2 linked regions of the Lonchura striata genome follow. The protein of the gene in region 1 interacts with the protein of each later gene in a pairwise test. Links are inferred from orthologs where the notes say so. Each region holds a gene or a part of one and is shown in the gene's direction. Other genes may lie near its edges. The genes, in order: TCHP and NDOR1.

Region 1 (7,127 bases):
GGAGAGGGTGTTTGGCTCCCACAAACCCAACAGAGACCATAGGTTGGGTTGCTCCTATGTGCCAACGCTGTGGTATCTCCAGACACTTGTCAGTGCACGGGAACAGCCTTAGGGATGGTGGTTGGATGCTTGGAGAGGGAGGGAATGCTCACCGTGAAGAGCTTCTGCAGCATCCAGCCGTGGTATTTCTTCAGTGCGATCTCATAAGCCTTCAAGGCGTTCACTCGGATGAGGTTGGGATGCTCCTCATCCCTCTCACCATCAGAGATGCTCTGCAGCAACACCAGAATGAATTTCAGACCCCTGGGGAGAAGAGCAGAGATGTTTGGCTCAGGGAAGTGGGTGCTGCTTCCCAGCTTCCAGCCTGGTGTTTCCAAGCATCCCAAAAACCCAGAGTCCCAGCAGTGCATCCCTCTCACAGAGCTGGTGCCTGTCCCTGTGTGCACATCCAGGGAAGAGAGAGAGAAGGGCTGGATGGAGCACCCAGGGCAGGATGGAAGCCCTGGGTGAAGCCAGGGCTGAGCTGGGCAGGGTCAGGTGGATGGATCCTCCAGGCACTGCAGGCTCCTCCTGACCTGTCCAATTTGTGGGCTCATGCTCTGAGGTTCTGCATTCTTGGGGAGCCAGATTTGAGGAAGGAGTTCCCAACAGCCAAACACAGCACCCCACTGCCAGCTGCCCAGCCCACAGGGACCAGCCCAGCACACGCAGCCTCCACTTGGAGCTCTCCAGCTCCCCACATGCCGGGACACAGCCGGAGCAGCTCCCGACGCCGTGAGTCACCTTTTCAACCACATCAGCGCCAGCGTCGCGCCTGTCTTGGGCCAGGCCGAGCCGTGCAGCTCCTTCTCCACCTCCAGGATGTTCTGCAGCGTTTTGAACTTGGCAGGGTTGGAGTCATAAACCGCCCGGATTTTCTGCGGGCAGAAAAGGGGATTGGCACCCGGGAGCAGGGACTTTGAGCAGGAGCTCTGGGAATAAACCTGTGACCGGGTGAGCCACTGCTGAGCCCAAAGTCCTCACGGGAAGAAAAGCCTTTTGAAACACCTCCCACAGGTTTCTCCCCAGGGATTCTCCTCTCTGAGCCCTCCTGAGTCCCTTCCTACCTTGATATTTCCAGTCAGGTCTGCTTTGACCGGCGAATAGACGATAGGAGTCCCCAGGCAATCTGTGGAGACAGGGAGGGAGGACAGTTAGACACTGGTGGCACAGGGGACAACAAACTTCCCTTACCAACAGGTTTCACTTTAACCACAGCTCCGGCAATGAGACTAGTAAGGATCTCTGAGCTTCACACATGGCTGTTGGCCCTTGGGACAGCCCTGCCACTTATTACAGCCCCACCAGTGACCTCCAATCCCCCTGGCTGCTGGACACAGCCCTGGCAGAAGGTCCTGGAACATCCTGCCCGTCCGCAGGCAGGCAGCCCCACGTCCTGCCCTTCCGGGGCTGCCACACAATAGCTGACATTGTGGAGGGCACACTGTGCCACGAGGGCGGCCACGCCGAACACCCACCCGTGTCCCGACACGGCGTGGGATCCATGGGTGGGATGGCAGCTCCTGTCCCGCCGATGCCTCTCTCCTGCACCAGGACGTTTTTCCCAACGGGGCTGCTCGGCAGGTTTGACAGCATCGTGATGCAACCGCGGCCCTGGCAGAGCAGCCAAGCCCGGCGTGAGCCCTGGATCAGGTAGTGGTGGGGGGGGTCACCACACAGAAATGGGAAGATGCACCCCAGAGCGACTGAGCCCACAGCAGGCCTGATGCCAGCCCGCATCTCCCAGCCCCGGCCACCCCGGTCTCACCGAAGAACGGAGGCAGGTGCGCCACGGCCTCCAGGAAAGGCAAAGTCTCGATCTGCTTATCAGCCGGCAGCGGCTTGAACTCGTGTTCCAGCAGCAGCGCCATGACCAGCGTAGCCCCCTTCCTTTCCCCCCCTCACCGCTCCCCGGCTGAGGGGGCTCTGAGGCAGCGGGGGCCGACCCGGCAGCGCGCCCACGCCAGGCTCCGCCCCTCGCCGCTCCGACCAATGGCTGCGCATCGGCCGTACGGCCGATGCGCAGCCATTGGTCGGAGCGGCGAAGGGCGGGACTTTCTGCCCAATAGGAGGCCACGCCCTCATCGCCCCCTCAGACTCGGGGTCTGGCCGTGCGCTGCCCCGGCCGCGTTCCGAGCGCCGGGCGGGCCGGCGTTAATTATTCACGGGAGATAAATATTTGATAGGGAACAGATGGAAAACAAACCTCAACGCGCGCGGGATGTGACGGCACACCTCAGCCCCAGGGGTTGGGTGGGGAAAATGACACCGAGCTGGGGGGGGGGGACGCGGAGAGGTGAAGAAGAGGTGGGAGCGGAGGGAGGCTCAGCCCCGTCCGCTGCGTGCGGAGCGGGCTGGCCGGTGATGGGGCCCCAAATGCGGTGTTTGGACTGGTTATGCTGGAAAAACAGGTCGTGGGGCGATAGCGATCGGTGGCGGGCAGGGCGGGTGCGGGGAGCTGCCGGCTGGTGCCGCCTCCCTCCCCGCTGCCGAATTACCGCGGTGCCCGGAGCCCGTCCTGAGAGATGCCCGGACCCCCTCCCGGGATGCTTGAAGCCCCTCCCGGGGTGCCAGGAGCCAGTTCCGCGGTGCCTGAGATGCCCCGAGCCCATCCCAGGGTGCTCGGAGCCTGTCCTGGGATGTCCAGGGCTCACGGAGCCTCTCCCGTGGTGCCCAGCCCGTTCCGGGATGCCCCGAGCCATCCCGGGATGCCCACAGCCCGTCCGGCGGTGCCCAGCCCGTTCCGGATGCCCCGAGCCATCCCGGGATGCCCGCAGCCCCTCCGGCGGTGCCCGGGCTGTCCCGGGATGCCCTGAGCCATCTCGGGATGCCCGCAGCCCGTCCGGCGGTGCCCAGCCCGTTCCGGGATGCCCCGAGCCATCTCGGGATGCCCGCAGCCCGTCCGGCGGTGCCCGGGCTGTCCCGGGATGCCCCGAGCCATCCCGGGATGCCCGCAGCCCCTCCGGCAGTGCCCGGGCTGTCCCGGGATGCCCTGAGCCATCTCGGGATGCCCGCAGCCCGTCCGGCGGTGCCCGGGCTGTCCCGGGATGCCCTGAGCCATCTCGGGATGCCCGCAGCCCGTCCGGCGGTGCCCGGGCTGTCCCGGGATGCCCTGAGCCATCCCGGGATGCCCGCAGCCCCTCCGGCGGTGCCCAGCCCGTTCCGGATGCCCTGAGCCATCTCGGGATGCCCACAGCCCGTCCGGCGGTGCCCAGCCCGTTCCGGATGCCCTGAGCCATCTCGGGATGCCCGCAGCCCCTCCGGCAGTGCCCGGGCTGTCCCGGGTCACGCAGCGGCCGGTCCGGTTGGGCTCGCTGCGGGTGGCGCCGCGCTGGTGCCGTGCCAAGGCGGGCAGAAACAGGAACCTTTAAGCCCTGAAACGTTTACAGCGCCACAAACCCCGCGGTGCCGCGCGCTCCCAGCCGGCACGGCGGCACCGCGCCCGGCCCGGGCTCCATCCGCGCATCCTGCGAGCGCTCGGGGCGCGGCTCGGAGCGACCCGAACCCCGCCGCCTCTCCATCCCCCGTCCCTCCCGGCTCGCCTCCCTCTCTCCCCGCCTCCCTCCGTCGGTCCCCGCCTCCCTCCGTGTTCGCGGAGCCCGTCTGGCCGTGTCCCTCGGCGGGAGCCGTCGCGGGCGGGCGCGCTGCGATGTCGCTGTGGCGGCGGTGGGGCCGCGGCCCGGAGCGCAGGGCGGCCGAGCGGCGGGAGCTGCAGGAGCGCAGCCGGCAGCAGTGGGAGAGCACCAGCCGCGCCTTCGCCCGCGCCGCCGCCTGCTGCTCCCTGCAGGCGCGGTGGAGCGAGCCCCGCGTCCCCCCGCCCAGGTACGGCCGCGGTCCGGCGGGCCCCGGGGCGGTGCGGGGGTGCCGCTGACCGCCGGTGTGTGCGGCAGCGCGGCGGCGGCGCGGCGGGACGCGGAGGAGGCGGCGGCGCGGCTGGAGCGGCGGCGGGAGCGGCTGCAGCGGCTGCTGGGCGAGGAGCGGGAGGCGCTGGCGGCGGAGCTGCGGGAGCGGCGGCGGGGCGGGATGCGGAGCCGGGAGTTGCGGGACGGCCTCGGAGAGTGCGGGAGGAAGGTGAGGGAGCGGCCCGGCCGTGCTGGTCCCGCATCCCGGGACTCGTCCGGTGAGGGGCCGTTCCGTGCTTCAGCTGTACCAGCGGGACTTGGAGTGTACCAACTCCAACTTGCTGGAGCTGTCACCTCATGGTGCCCTGAACTCAGCCTCGGCGAGGTTTGGGATGCCGAGCACTCCCGTGTCCTGACCTGACCCAGCTCTGTGTTCCCAGTTTGCTGAGCCGCCGCTGCAGGAGCGCTGGAACAAAAACAACGCGCAGCTCCGAGAGGTGATGTTGCTTCCTCTTGAGTCCCTGCTGCCTTGTATTTATTAAACCGGTTTTTAACTTGAAAGTCATCATATCTCTACTGTGGTCACTCATCTTGCATCACAGCAACTGCCCTGAATTCTGATAAACAAAAGGCAAAGAAGTGAAAGGGTTGAAGGGTTGAAATAGTTTTAAGGAGCCCTCTCAAAGCTGTATTTTTAAAAGTCAGAAATCTGTTCAGACTCTGAGCAAATTTTCAGAGCTCACAAGTAAATATCTCAGGCACATAATATATAAATAATATAAAAATATAAACCTTAATATCTCAGCTGTACCTGCCGTGCTGTGGTGCTTCCTCATTCTTTATTCCACCCACGTGCTGCTGCAACATTGCAGTCCTGTATCACTGTCACTGTGACAATGACCTCAGCTCAAGACCTGGTGGGCACCTCAGACACTCAGATGAGCCCACCTCTGCAGAGGCAGATCCTCTTAGGATTTCAGGGCCAGAGAGTCTGGAAGACCTTGGGGGACAGAACCTCTGGCACTGATGACCCTGCTGCATCTGTTGTGTCTCCAGGCAGAGTCTGAGCTGCACAGGAAGCACGTGAGGGAGGCTTGGAGTGATCAGCTAACACAACAAAACCAGGTATGGGGGCAACCCTGGTGTTCTGGTCACTGAGAAGACTCTGAAATGTGTGTGTGGGTGGAGGGGTGACACTTGTGCCATGGGAGCTGATGCCAGGAAGGGCACTAACAGCTTGCAGGAGCCTGTTGGATTTTCTGAGCCAGAAGTTGTTTCTTTGTGTCAGGCTAACCTGAAATGCTGTTTTCTTTTCTTTGGGAAAGGAAGAGGTGACCAAACTTGAAGAGAAGAAACGTTATGAAAGTGAGTACGAAACGGCACGAGGGGAAGCGCTGGAAAGAACAAGACAAGACGAAGAGAAGCCTCAGCTGGAGAAGCAGCAAGCAGAGGCCTTGCTTCAGCAGATAGAAGAACTGAAACTGCAGGAGACAAAGGTAATCTTGACTTTCTCCTCATTGGAGAAAGGAATTTGTTGCTTCACTTGGAAATACAGCAGGGCTGACCTGACCTCTTCTCTCCATGTTTGCACTGCAGGGAGGGCTTTCCCTGCCTGCAGAGGAGCAGAACAGGGTACAAACTCTGGTCAAGCCTGCTCTCTGGGATGTTGTAGCTCTCTGATGTACTCTCTCTTGGTGTTTGCGTTTTCCTTTTTAGGCAACAAAGCTGAAAAAAGAACAAGAGAATTTATTAAAGCAGCAGCGGGAACTGAAGAATTTGGAAGAAGAAAGGAAACAAATGGAAGAGCACCGGAGGAAGAGCGAGTTTGGGTAGGACATCAAGTGGAGCTTGTTTTGGATAGAATTACTGTGCCCACAGCAGTAGTTGGGGCACAAGGAGATATTCTAGGTAGCAGTGGTAAGATGTAAATATCTGGGTTTTGGTGGATTTGCCCACAGCAGCCAGGGAGCAAAGGCACTGGTGCTGTTCCTGCTTTTTGTTTCTGGTAGCAGGTTCCTCATTGTCACAGATGCACCTCTCCGAGTGCAGCTGTACAGTGACATGGTGCTTTAGAGTCAGTGTGATTCTGGTTTGTTTTTTTTTGTTAAATTCTACTTTTTTTCCTCCTTCAGTCGCTTCTTGAAGCATCAGTGTGACATCCAGTTAAGGAGACGAGCACAGCAAGTACAGGAGGAGCTGGTAAGAGATTAATTTATACTTCACAGATGCTGTGTGGTGAAAAAACCTGTTGTGTGTGGTTTGCCTCTGCCTCTTGATTCCTACAGATGAGGAGGCCCCTTCTGGCTTGTGCACAGGGCTGGAGCACAAAGCTCACGGGGAAGCAGCAGATGGAGCATCTTGCTGAGCACAGCCTTGTCACTGTCACCAGTAATGCCTAGAGGAGCCCTGCACATGGAGAGTTGTTAATCTCGTGGTTTTCTCCCCCAGGAGACAGACAGGCAAATCTTATCAGCCCTCCTGGAGAAAGAAGAGGAGGATCAGAGCTGGCAGATCGCGCGGCGGGGACGGGCGGTGGCAGATGTGGCCTGGATGAAGAGGGTCATCGAGGAACAGCTCCAGCTGGAAAAGGAGAGGGAAGCAGAGCTCGAGACTATCTTCAGGTGAGTCTGCCCACCTCTGAACCTCACCTGAGGAGTCCGTGTGTGCTGAATGTTCCAGGTTAGGGGGTCACTGAGAGGCACAAGTGGGATGGGCACATCAACTGGCAGGGAACAAACCTGAGGAGAAACCCAAGTGCTCCTCAAGAATAGGATAGCTTGTCTGTGCCTGTGGAGTATACACGGGGGTTAACCTCAGAGATAATTCTTCCTCTCTCCTTTAGGGAAGAAGCAAAAAAAATCTGGGAGAAGAGGGAAGAAGAATGGGAAAGAGAGAAGGTGGCTAGAGATCGCCTGATGAGTGAGGTGATGACCTCTATTGAGGCTGTGTCCCCCTTGGCTCAATGAAACCATCATTCCACTTGTAACCCACCACCTTTTGGAGAGTTAGAGCATTCCATGGTGGGGTGGAATTTTTTTCCTTGTCTGGTGTGTTTCCTGGGAACTGTTTAACCATCTTCTCCCTCCATCTCCTCCCTTTGCACAGGTCCTTGCAGGCAGGCAGCGCCAGATCCAAGAGAAGATGGAGTTAAACAGAAGGGCCCAAGAAGAATCCATTAAATATCGAGAGCAGCTGATCAAAGAACTCGAGGAGGCCAAGGAAGGGACTCGCAGGGAGAAGGAGCAG
Region 2 (8,084 bases), on another chromosome or scaffold:
AGTTGTTCTTTGGCTTTGTCATTTGATTTATAGTGTCCTCCTGCTCTTCACTTCCCAGGTCATGGCTCTCCAGCACTGCAGGATTGGTTATTCCTTTGTGTTTCGTAAGTTCTTTTGTTTGTGCTGTGCTGCAGTGAATTTTTAACTTTCTCATGGTACTTTCCCTCTCTGACATTTAGGGAAATGTCTGTCGTGCATTTCCTGTAAGTCTCACCCTATTTTTGGAAAAACATAGTTGACTCTTACCTGAAAGAACAAAATAAACACAAACTCTTTCATTTTGAGCTATGATGGCATGTCAGTACATTGCACTTCAACGTTCCCATGGCAGTCTCCTCTGGGGTGGCTCCTGAAGCCCAGAGGGTGCCACCACTCCTGCATTCCCACCTCCACAGAACACACAACCTTTGGATTCACCTGGATTCAGTGGGAGGGGGGGATGAGTGTCTCTGCTCTGGAAATCCCCTGCTGACTGCACAGGGCTGTTCTGAGCACAGGGGTCTCATCCTCACTTAGGACAGAGGCACCAACCAGCCCTGGTCCCTTGGGGACATGTGGCACTGCCACTGGCTGTGTGCACCCAGAGCTGACCAAAACCTCCAGCTCCAAACTCAAACACAGGATAAGCAGCTCTTCACTTTTCCTGTCCCTTTTTGTAGTAAAGAAACAGCCCCAGAGGTTTTGTTGAGGGGCTGTTCCCCCTTGCCCATGCTGGCCCCATGGGCAGCTCTGCAGCTCTGCCAGGTGATGCTGTGCTGGCTGGGCTCTGGCAGGAGCACAAGGATCTGTGTGGAAGGACACAGTTCCAGCTGCCTTAGCTGAGTCAGACGGGGCAATGCTGGGAAGGAAACGCTGTGCAGGGGAGCCCTCATTGCCCTGATCCTCCCCAGCAAGGCCCCGCAACACCCTGGCTCTGTGCTACATCCAGCCCTCAATTTTCTTCAGACACTCCTGCCCAAAGGGGTGTCTCTGCTAAATTCGGGGTCTCAGGGTGATGTGGTGACCTGGAAGGGCCATGGGGTGCATGGCTCCCAGGGGCAGCTGCTCTCAGCTGGCTCCCCTCAGGTCCTTGGGCACATCACCCCAGCCCTGTTTGGCTTCAGGGCTGTGCTCTGCTGAGAGTGAAATGTGCTATTTGCTCCTAATTGAGAAAGGGATCGAGTGTCTCATCCTGACTTCTGATAGACAAATCTGCTGTGGGGAAATGTGGCCAGAGTACACACACACCCCTGTTTGATCTGCTTTTGGCATGTATTTATTTGCCTGTGGCCCTTGCAATGACTCTGGCACCCAGCAGGGAGTTGCCAGGCTGGTGTGGGGACTCGGCGGGGCTCTGGGCCAGACACCACTGCCAGGCTGACGGCTGTTTGTGAAATGACATCACCTCCACTGCCAACACCTTCCTGCTGCCTTCCGAAAGGAAAGCACCTTGACTCAAGCTTAAAAAAGGGAGTCTCATTTCCCAGAACTCAGTTTCTGCTCCGTAAGGTCACCCCAGTCCCAGGGTGGGGAGGTGCAGGCGGTGGCTCTGAGCATGTCCCATGCCTCCAGGAGTGCTGCTCCACTTGCTCTTGCCCCATGTTCCTCTGCCAGACGTTCTCTGGGTCTTGCTGGGATTTGTCCCAGCAGAGACCAGCTCCAGCCCTCCCCTCCACTCTGATTCCAGCAGGACTGGAGGAGTCTGGGCCATTTGAAGCTTCCCTGTCCTCAGGCACTGCCCATGGCAAGCTGCAGGGAGGGATGGAGGTCCCTTGGGCCACCCATTCCCAGATGGCTTTTGGGAGCCCCTTTGCCCCTCTGGAGGCCCAGGCCATGCTGGAGCCCTGTCCTCTGCTGCTGGGAGACTGTCTGGGCTGTGGCAGGCAGGCTGTGCTCCGGGCATGGACGCAGCAGCACTGGCTGCTCTCCTGCAGTGTACCCCTCCCCAGGTTCAGATGGCTCTCCAGGGGCTGCTCCCGTCCCTGCAGGAGCTGGGACACACGGAGGAAGGTGGCAGCTGGGGCTGCTACTGCCCCTGTGCCACAGGAATGCTGCTTTGGCACCTGGGCTGGGCTGTGCAGAGGCTCCTTCCCCAGCAGCCCAGGGTGCAGAGGGGCTTGGGGTGGCATCTGCAGCAGCAGCCCTGGGAGCTGCACCTCCCTCCCAGGGCATCCACATGGGCAGACCAGCAGGGCACTCCCCTGCTGCTGGGCTCGGGAAAGGACCTGCTGGCAGCAGCACCCACCCCACCGGCCACAGCAACGAGAATAAACCCAGAGGTGACATTTTCACCTTTGCCAGGGCGCTCTGCAGGCGGGGAGAGTGCTGGCTGGAGCTTGAGCAGTCACCAGCCCAGGCCAGGCACCTGGATGCTCACACTGGGCAGGGAATGGGGTCAGGGTCCCCCAAGCTGTGTCAGAGTGGGGAGGCTCCAGCAGGATTTCTCCATGGGGGATGCTCCCAGAAAGAATTCTGTGTGTCCACAGGCTGGTGTGCCAGCACTAATGCCCCAGCAGGGTTTGCTCCAGGACCTGGTGGCCCTGGGCACAGCAGGTGACTCCTCTGCACCAAGCATGAGTCCTGAGAAGGGACACAGGGTGGTCCTGGCTGCGAGACCATGCCCCCACCCCAGCACCCCCACCAGGGCAGCACAGCCAGAGCTGCTGTTCTGTGTTGTGTCACCCCTGTGTCCCCACACACCCCAGGGAAGCCGCCTTACCTCGGAGGAGCAGAGCTGGGACACGCTGACCACTGGTTTGTCCCCGAGGCAGCAGCAAAGCACTGGCAAAGGCACCGGCAGGTGAGGCGGGTGGCACAGCGACGTGGCACACGGGGAGATGTCCCCCTGTCTCTGACACCACCCCGGTGTCAGGGCTGGAGCTGGTTTGGGACTCACGGTGCAGGCAGCCCCAGCAGGCTGTGTGCCATGCAGCAAGGCTGAGGGATGTGGTCATCTGTTTGATCTTCTTTGGGGCTGATGAGCCCCTTCCTGAGTTTATTAATTAGCTGGTGCCTGGGGGCTGTGGGAGTGGCCAAAGGCACCGTGGGTCCCCAAGGCCACTCGGTGCGTGTTCCCTCCTGACTCAGAGGCTTTGCTGCCTGTCCTGCTCCTCTCCTGTCCTCACCTGCTGGGCTCCAGCTCCCCAGCGCTGCAGCACACCCCGACCCCACACAGCTGCCACCCCACGCCCCCCCAGCCCCACAGCAGTGACCCCGTGGCTGCTGCTGGCACCCCTCCTGTGACAGAACAGCCCTGGCTGTGCGCTCGGGGTCACCGGGGGCAGGTGGCACAACCAGGCAAGAGGGGGATGAGCTCACACTGGGGGTGTGAGCAGGTGGCTGCCACCTCCCAGGTGACGTGTCCTTGGCTCAGGGGAGCCACTGAGAGGCCCCAAGGGGAGCACCTGGAGCAAGTGACAGCACGCCCTGGGAGATTGCATCCTAATGGGAAACAGGAGCTGAAGAGGCAGGTCGGTGCCACCTCAGGCTGTGCAAGAATCACAGAACCTCCTGAGCTGGAGGGACCCAGAGGGATCATCAGTGCAGCTCCTGGCCCTGCAGAGACAACCCCACCCTGGCATCCCGGTGACACTGGCACTTCACACACTGGTCTGCACTTCCACAGGGAATACTGAATTCCTCCTGTTCTCTGGGGGGGCTGGGGGCTGGTTACTGTAGATCCCCTGGTACAGCCCAGACCCCTGCACGCTCCTGCCTCCCCACACCCCCATTTCTGAATGTAGGAAATGGAGTGAAACACAAAGAAAAATCATATTCCTGTTCAAAAATACACAAATCAGTGATCTCAACCTGACCTCACAAACCCCCAGCAGAGCACTGAAGGTATGAAGTGCTCGGGGAAGTGAGGGGACAGATGGAAATCCATGAGCCAGCTGCAGGGCAGGGCAGGGGTCTGGGCTGTACCAGGGGATCTACAGCAACCACCCGCCCTCCAGGCAGCAGTCTGAGGTACAACTGTTTTATAGGCAAAAAGAATCTCAGAAATAAACCTAATCCTTCAATGCATTTTTATTCTAAAATAAAATAACTGTCATGCCCAGCCGCTCTCGCAGGACAGGACAAGGAGCTGAGGGGGCACAAACAGGGATGTGCAGCTTTTGGAGAAACGTGATGCTCTGCACCACAGCGGCGAGCTGGGGCACTGCCCCTGTCCCCGCCCGTCACCTGCCCCTCCGCACGGCGACAGCGACCGCAGCGGCCCCGGGCCCGGCCCCCGGGCCGGGGCTCAGTTCACGCGGCAGGCCCGGATCATGAGCAGCTGGAGCAGGATGAAGACGGGCGACATGATGAGCCCGTACCACAGCTCCCGCGTGTGCTCCACCAGCTTCTGGCACAGCAGCATCTCGAACACGAACTTGAGGCTGAGGATGGTGAGGATCCAGAAGAGCCGCAGCACCGCCAGGCGCTTCTCGCCGTCCTGGAACAGCCGCACGGACACGATGGTGGTGAAGTAGGTGCTGAGCCCGTCGGCGGCGAAGAAGGGCACGAACACGATCCACCAGGAGAGCGCGGCGGCCGCGCCGTCCACCTTGAGCACGAGCAGCACGGAGAAGGCGAGCAGGGCCAGCCCGTGCAGGAACAGCTCGAACGTGGCGAAACCGAGCCACTGCACGAGCTCGCGCAGGGAGAACAGCATCGTCCGGGGCTACGGCACCGGCCCGGCACCGGCACCGGCACGGGGACAGGCACGGCAGCGGCACGGGCACCGGCACGGGCACGGCACCGGCACCGGCACAAGTCCCTAGTCGGGCACCGGCCCCACACCGGCACCGACAGCGGCACGGGCACAAGTCCCCAGCCCGGCACCAGCCCCACACCGGCACAGGCACCGGCACAAGTCACTGACCTGACCCAGCCCGGCCCGGCCCGGCCCGGCCCGGCCCGGCACCGGCACCAGGCCCGGCCCGGCCCGCCGGCGCGGGGCGATGGCGTCACGGTGAGAGGCGACGGACGGATGATGTCATCAGGCGGGGACACAGTGAGCGGGGGCTCCCAGCGCCTCAGCCTCGCCGATGACGTCAGCGGGAGCTGTCGCGCGGCGGTGACGTCAGAGGCGGCATGGAGCCGGTCCGCGGTGAGTCCCGCAGCGCGGCCGGGCCGGGCCGGGCCGGGGCTGCTCTCCGGCAGGGGAGGGTTCCCGGGAGCCTGAGGGGGCTCCAGGAGAGCTGGAGAGGGACTGGGGACAGGGGATGGAGGGACAGGACACAGGGAATGGCTCCCACTGCCAGAGGGCAGGGATGGATGGGAGATTGGGAATTGGGAATTGTTCCCTGGGAGGGTGTGAGGCCCTGGCACAGGTGCCCAGAGCAGCTGTGGCTGCCCCTGGATCCCTGGCAGTGCCCAAGGCCAGGCTGGACAGGGCTGGGAGCAGCCTGGGACAGTGGGAGGTGTCCCTGCCATGGCAGGGGTGGAATGAGCTGGGCTTCGAGGTCCTTTCTAACCCAAACCAGTCAGTGATTCTGCGATTTTATTTTTTATTATTAAGATTTAATTTAATACTATTCTGTGGGCACATGGTGGTGGCAGCCGTTTGCAGCTCAGACAGAGCTGCATTCCCTCCGGGCTGGGCCCTTGCTCTGTCAGTCTGGCCGAGAGCTCCGTGTGCTCTCTTTGTCTGTGCTGAGCCTCCAGGCTCTGCCCCAGCCCCCTCAGGGGAGGGAGGATTCCCAGGGCACACGGGAAGGTTACACCAGGACTGGGGAACAGGCAGTCCCAGAGCTGTGCTCAGCCTGTGCTGGCGAGGGCAGTTCAGCGGGGCGGGATGTGGATTTTAGTCCCTCCCTGGCCTGGCAGTGGGGACGAGGAGCACAGTAGCGTCCCTGCTTATTGTATGGGCTGGGACATGGGATCACACCCTCAGTGCTGCACAGGGGTGGGAAGAGAGCCTGGGAGCCTTGGCCCCACAGCTGAATGCCACCCCTGTGGCCCACTCTTGGCCACCCCTGTGCTGGCTGCATGCTGTGTCAGCCCCGGGATCAGTGCTGCTGGGCCCGGGCAGCTGCAGCCCTGACTCCCTTCCTCTCCTGCCCTCTGTAGGAATCCAGAGCTTCCCTCTGGCTGTCCTGGCAGGCCTGGGACCCTGGCAGGGGTCAGGAACCCCCTGGACACAGCCCCCAGAGACACTGTCTGTGATCTCTGTCCATGGAAAAGAGTTTTCAATCTTACAGGATGAATTATAACCCCTGAGTGTTTGATATAAGCAATAATTAAGTGTGGCACGGGTGCAAAAGTAAAATTTTAGGATTCTAGATTAGGGGTCCAAAGGAGGCAAGACGGAGGAAATTGGGTGTGTCTTGTCCTTTTTCTCCTTCTTCATGCCCTCCATGTTTCACTGTGGTGTTGGCATTTTTCTGTTGGTTCAGGCTGGGGACACACTGTCCAATGTAGGTGACAGATATTGGCACGTTATTGTAAATCCAGCCCAGGGAGTTTCTGGTATTGAATGTTTGTCACATCCCACTGAGGGCAGAGCCCCACACGCTGCCCTGCAGGACAGAGCTGGGCAGGGCAGCAGAACATGTGAGAGATAAACAGAATAAACAACCTGGAAACCAGCACAGACCAATTATGGCTTCTGCTTTGGCAGTGGGGCTGACAGACAGAGACTTTCTACAATCTCAGAATCATCAATACCTCAGATTCTGACACCCTCTGCTGACCTCCTGCTCTTGTCTCCTGCAGATGGCAGAACGGGGACTCCTGGTGCTTTTTGGCAGCCAGACTGGGACAGCTCAGGACACGGCCGAGAGGGTTGGGAGAGAAGCCCAGCGCCGGCACCTGCGCTGCCGGGTGCAGGCCCTGGACAGCTGTGACGTGGTGAGTGGGACACTCACTGCTCCGGGCACTGCCCTGCTCCAGCCCCATGGGCACCAACACCTCCCACAGCACTACGGAATCGTGGAACAAGCTGAGTTGGAAGGAACCCATCAGGATCATTGAGTCAGCTCCTGGCCTGCCCAGGACACCCCAACAATCCCACCCTGTCCCTGAGAGTGTTGTCCAAACACTGTTGAACTCAGATAGGCTTGGTGCTGGTTGCTCCAAGCCTTCCCCTGCCTGGGCTTGGACACTTCCAGGCATCCAGGGGCACCCACAGTTTCTCTGGGCAACCTGTGCCAGAACCTGGTCACTCTCACTGGGAAGAATTTCTGACTTAAACCTGACCCCCTTCAGTTTATGGACATTCCCCCTTGTCCCCAGTCCCTCTCCAGCTCTCCTGGAGCCCCTTCAGGCCCTGGAAGGGCTCTGAGCTCTCCCTGGAGCCTTCTTTTCCCCAGGCTGAACACCCCGAGCTGTCCCAGCCTGGCTCCAGAGCACTTTGGAGGCTGCTGACCTGACTGTGCCATGTTTGTACCCACAGGCCAACCTCATCCACGAGCCCTTGGTGGTGTTTGTGTGTGCAACCACCGGCCAGGGAGACCCACCTGACAACATGAAGGTAAGATGTGCTTCTGTCCTGTTGCTTTTATGTTCCTGCTGCAGAGCTGTCTCTCCTGAAGCAGCTCGAGCAGGGGTTGTTCTTGCTGGGGCAGCTTTGCAGCAGCATCACTCACATCCCAGGGAGCAGGAGCAGGGGCACTTCTGCTGAAAGCCATGCTCCCCACTCTGCTAGGATGCAGGAGGCCCCAGCGGGTGGGTGGGTGAGCAGGGATGCAGGGCCAGGCAGGCAGGAGGGTGCCTGACAGCAGCAGGACTGGCCAGCTGTGTCTGTCCTAGATGTTCTGGCGGTTCCTGTTCCGGAAGAACCTCCCTGCCAGCTCCCTGTGCCAGCTGGACTACGCTGTGCTGGGCCTCGGGGACTCCTCCTACCCCAAGTAAGCAGCTCTGCAGCCCCTGGGCAGCTGCTCCTCACAGCTCTGACTGCACTAGAGAGCAGAGTGGCTGGAGAGCCAAGGGGGTAAGGGGAGACAGAGTCTGATTCTGGAGCAGCAGCCCAGACAAAATGTAACTCCCACCAGCCTTAAAAATCCTTGCCCTACTGTGTCCCTCCTCACCCCCAGGAATTAGGCATCTGCCCTTTTCTTTCCTCCCAACCTCACCAAGGATTCTTTGCTGCAAAGGGTCAGACATAATGTGTCAGTCTT

What was found.
Region 2: the proteins of TCHP (region 1) and NDOR1 interact in binary tests that used the Homo sapiens proteins (3 or more experiments, as listed by UniProt). The two-hybrid records come from large-scale screens. The link is inferred for Lonchura striata from reciprocal best matches to the Homo sapiens genes TCHP and NDOR1.

Annotation. Positions count from the first base shown.
Region 1 is NC_134620.1:11,050,190-11,057,316, reverse strand, and holds the start of TCHP (trichoplein keratin filament-binding protein), read left to right. Parts: upstream 1-3,978; 5' UTR 3,979-4,062; coding exon 4,063-4,110; intron 4,111-4,321; coding exon 4,322-4,378; intron 4,379-4,937; coding exon 4,938-5,006; intron 5,007-5,206; coding exon 5,207-5,377; intron 5,378-5,597; coding exon 5,598-5,710; intron 5,711-6,013; coding exon 6,014-6,080; intron 6,081-6,329; coding exon 6,330-6,502; intron 6,503-6,723; coding exon 6,724-6,805; intron 6,806-6,986; coding exon 6,987-7,127. Other genes in the region: GLTP (glycolipid transfer protein), read right to left, coding at 153-303, 784-917, 1,107-1,168, 1,518-1,635. UniProt on the Homo sapiens protein: Tumor suppressor which has the ability to inhibit cell growth and be pro-apoptotic during cell stress. Inhibits cell growth in bladder and prostate cancer cells by a down-regulation of HSPB1 by inhibiting its phosphorylation.
Region 2 is NC_134624.1:5,298,516-5,306,599, reverse strand, and holds the start of NDOR1 (NADPH-dependent diflavin oxidoreductase 1), read left to right. Parts: upstream 1-5,016; 5' UTR 5,017-5,074; intron 5,075-6,681; coding exon 6,682-6,816; intron 6,817-7,360; coding exon 7,361-7,438; intron 7,439-7,716; coding exon 7,717-7,814; intron 7,815-8,084. Other genes in the region: TMEM203 (transmembrane protein 203), read right to left, coding at 4,226-4,636. UniProt on the Homo sapiens protein: NADPH-dependent reductase which is a central component of the cytosolic iron-sulfur (Fe-S) protein assembly (CIA) machinery.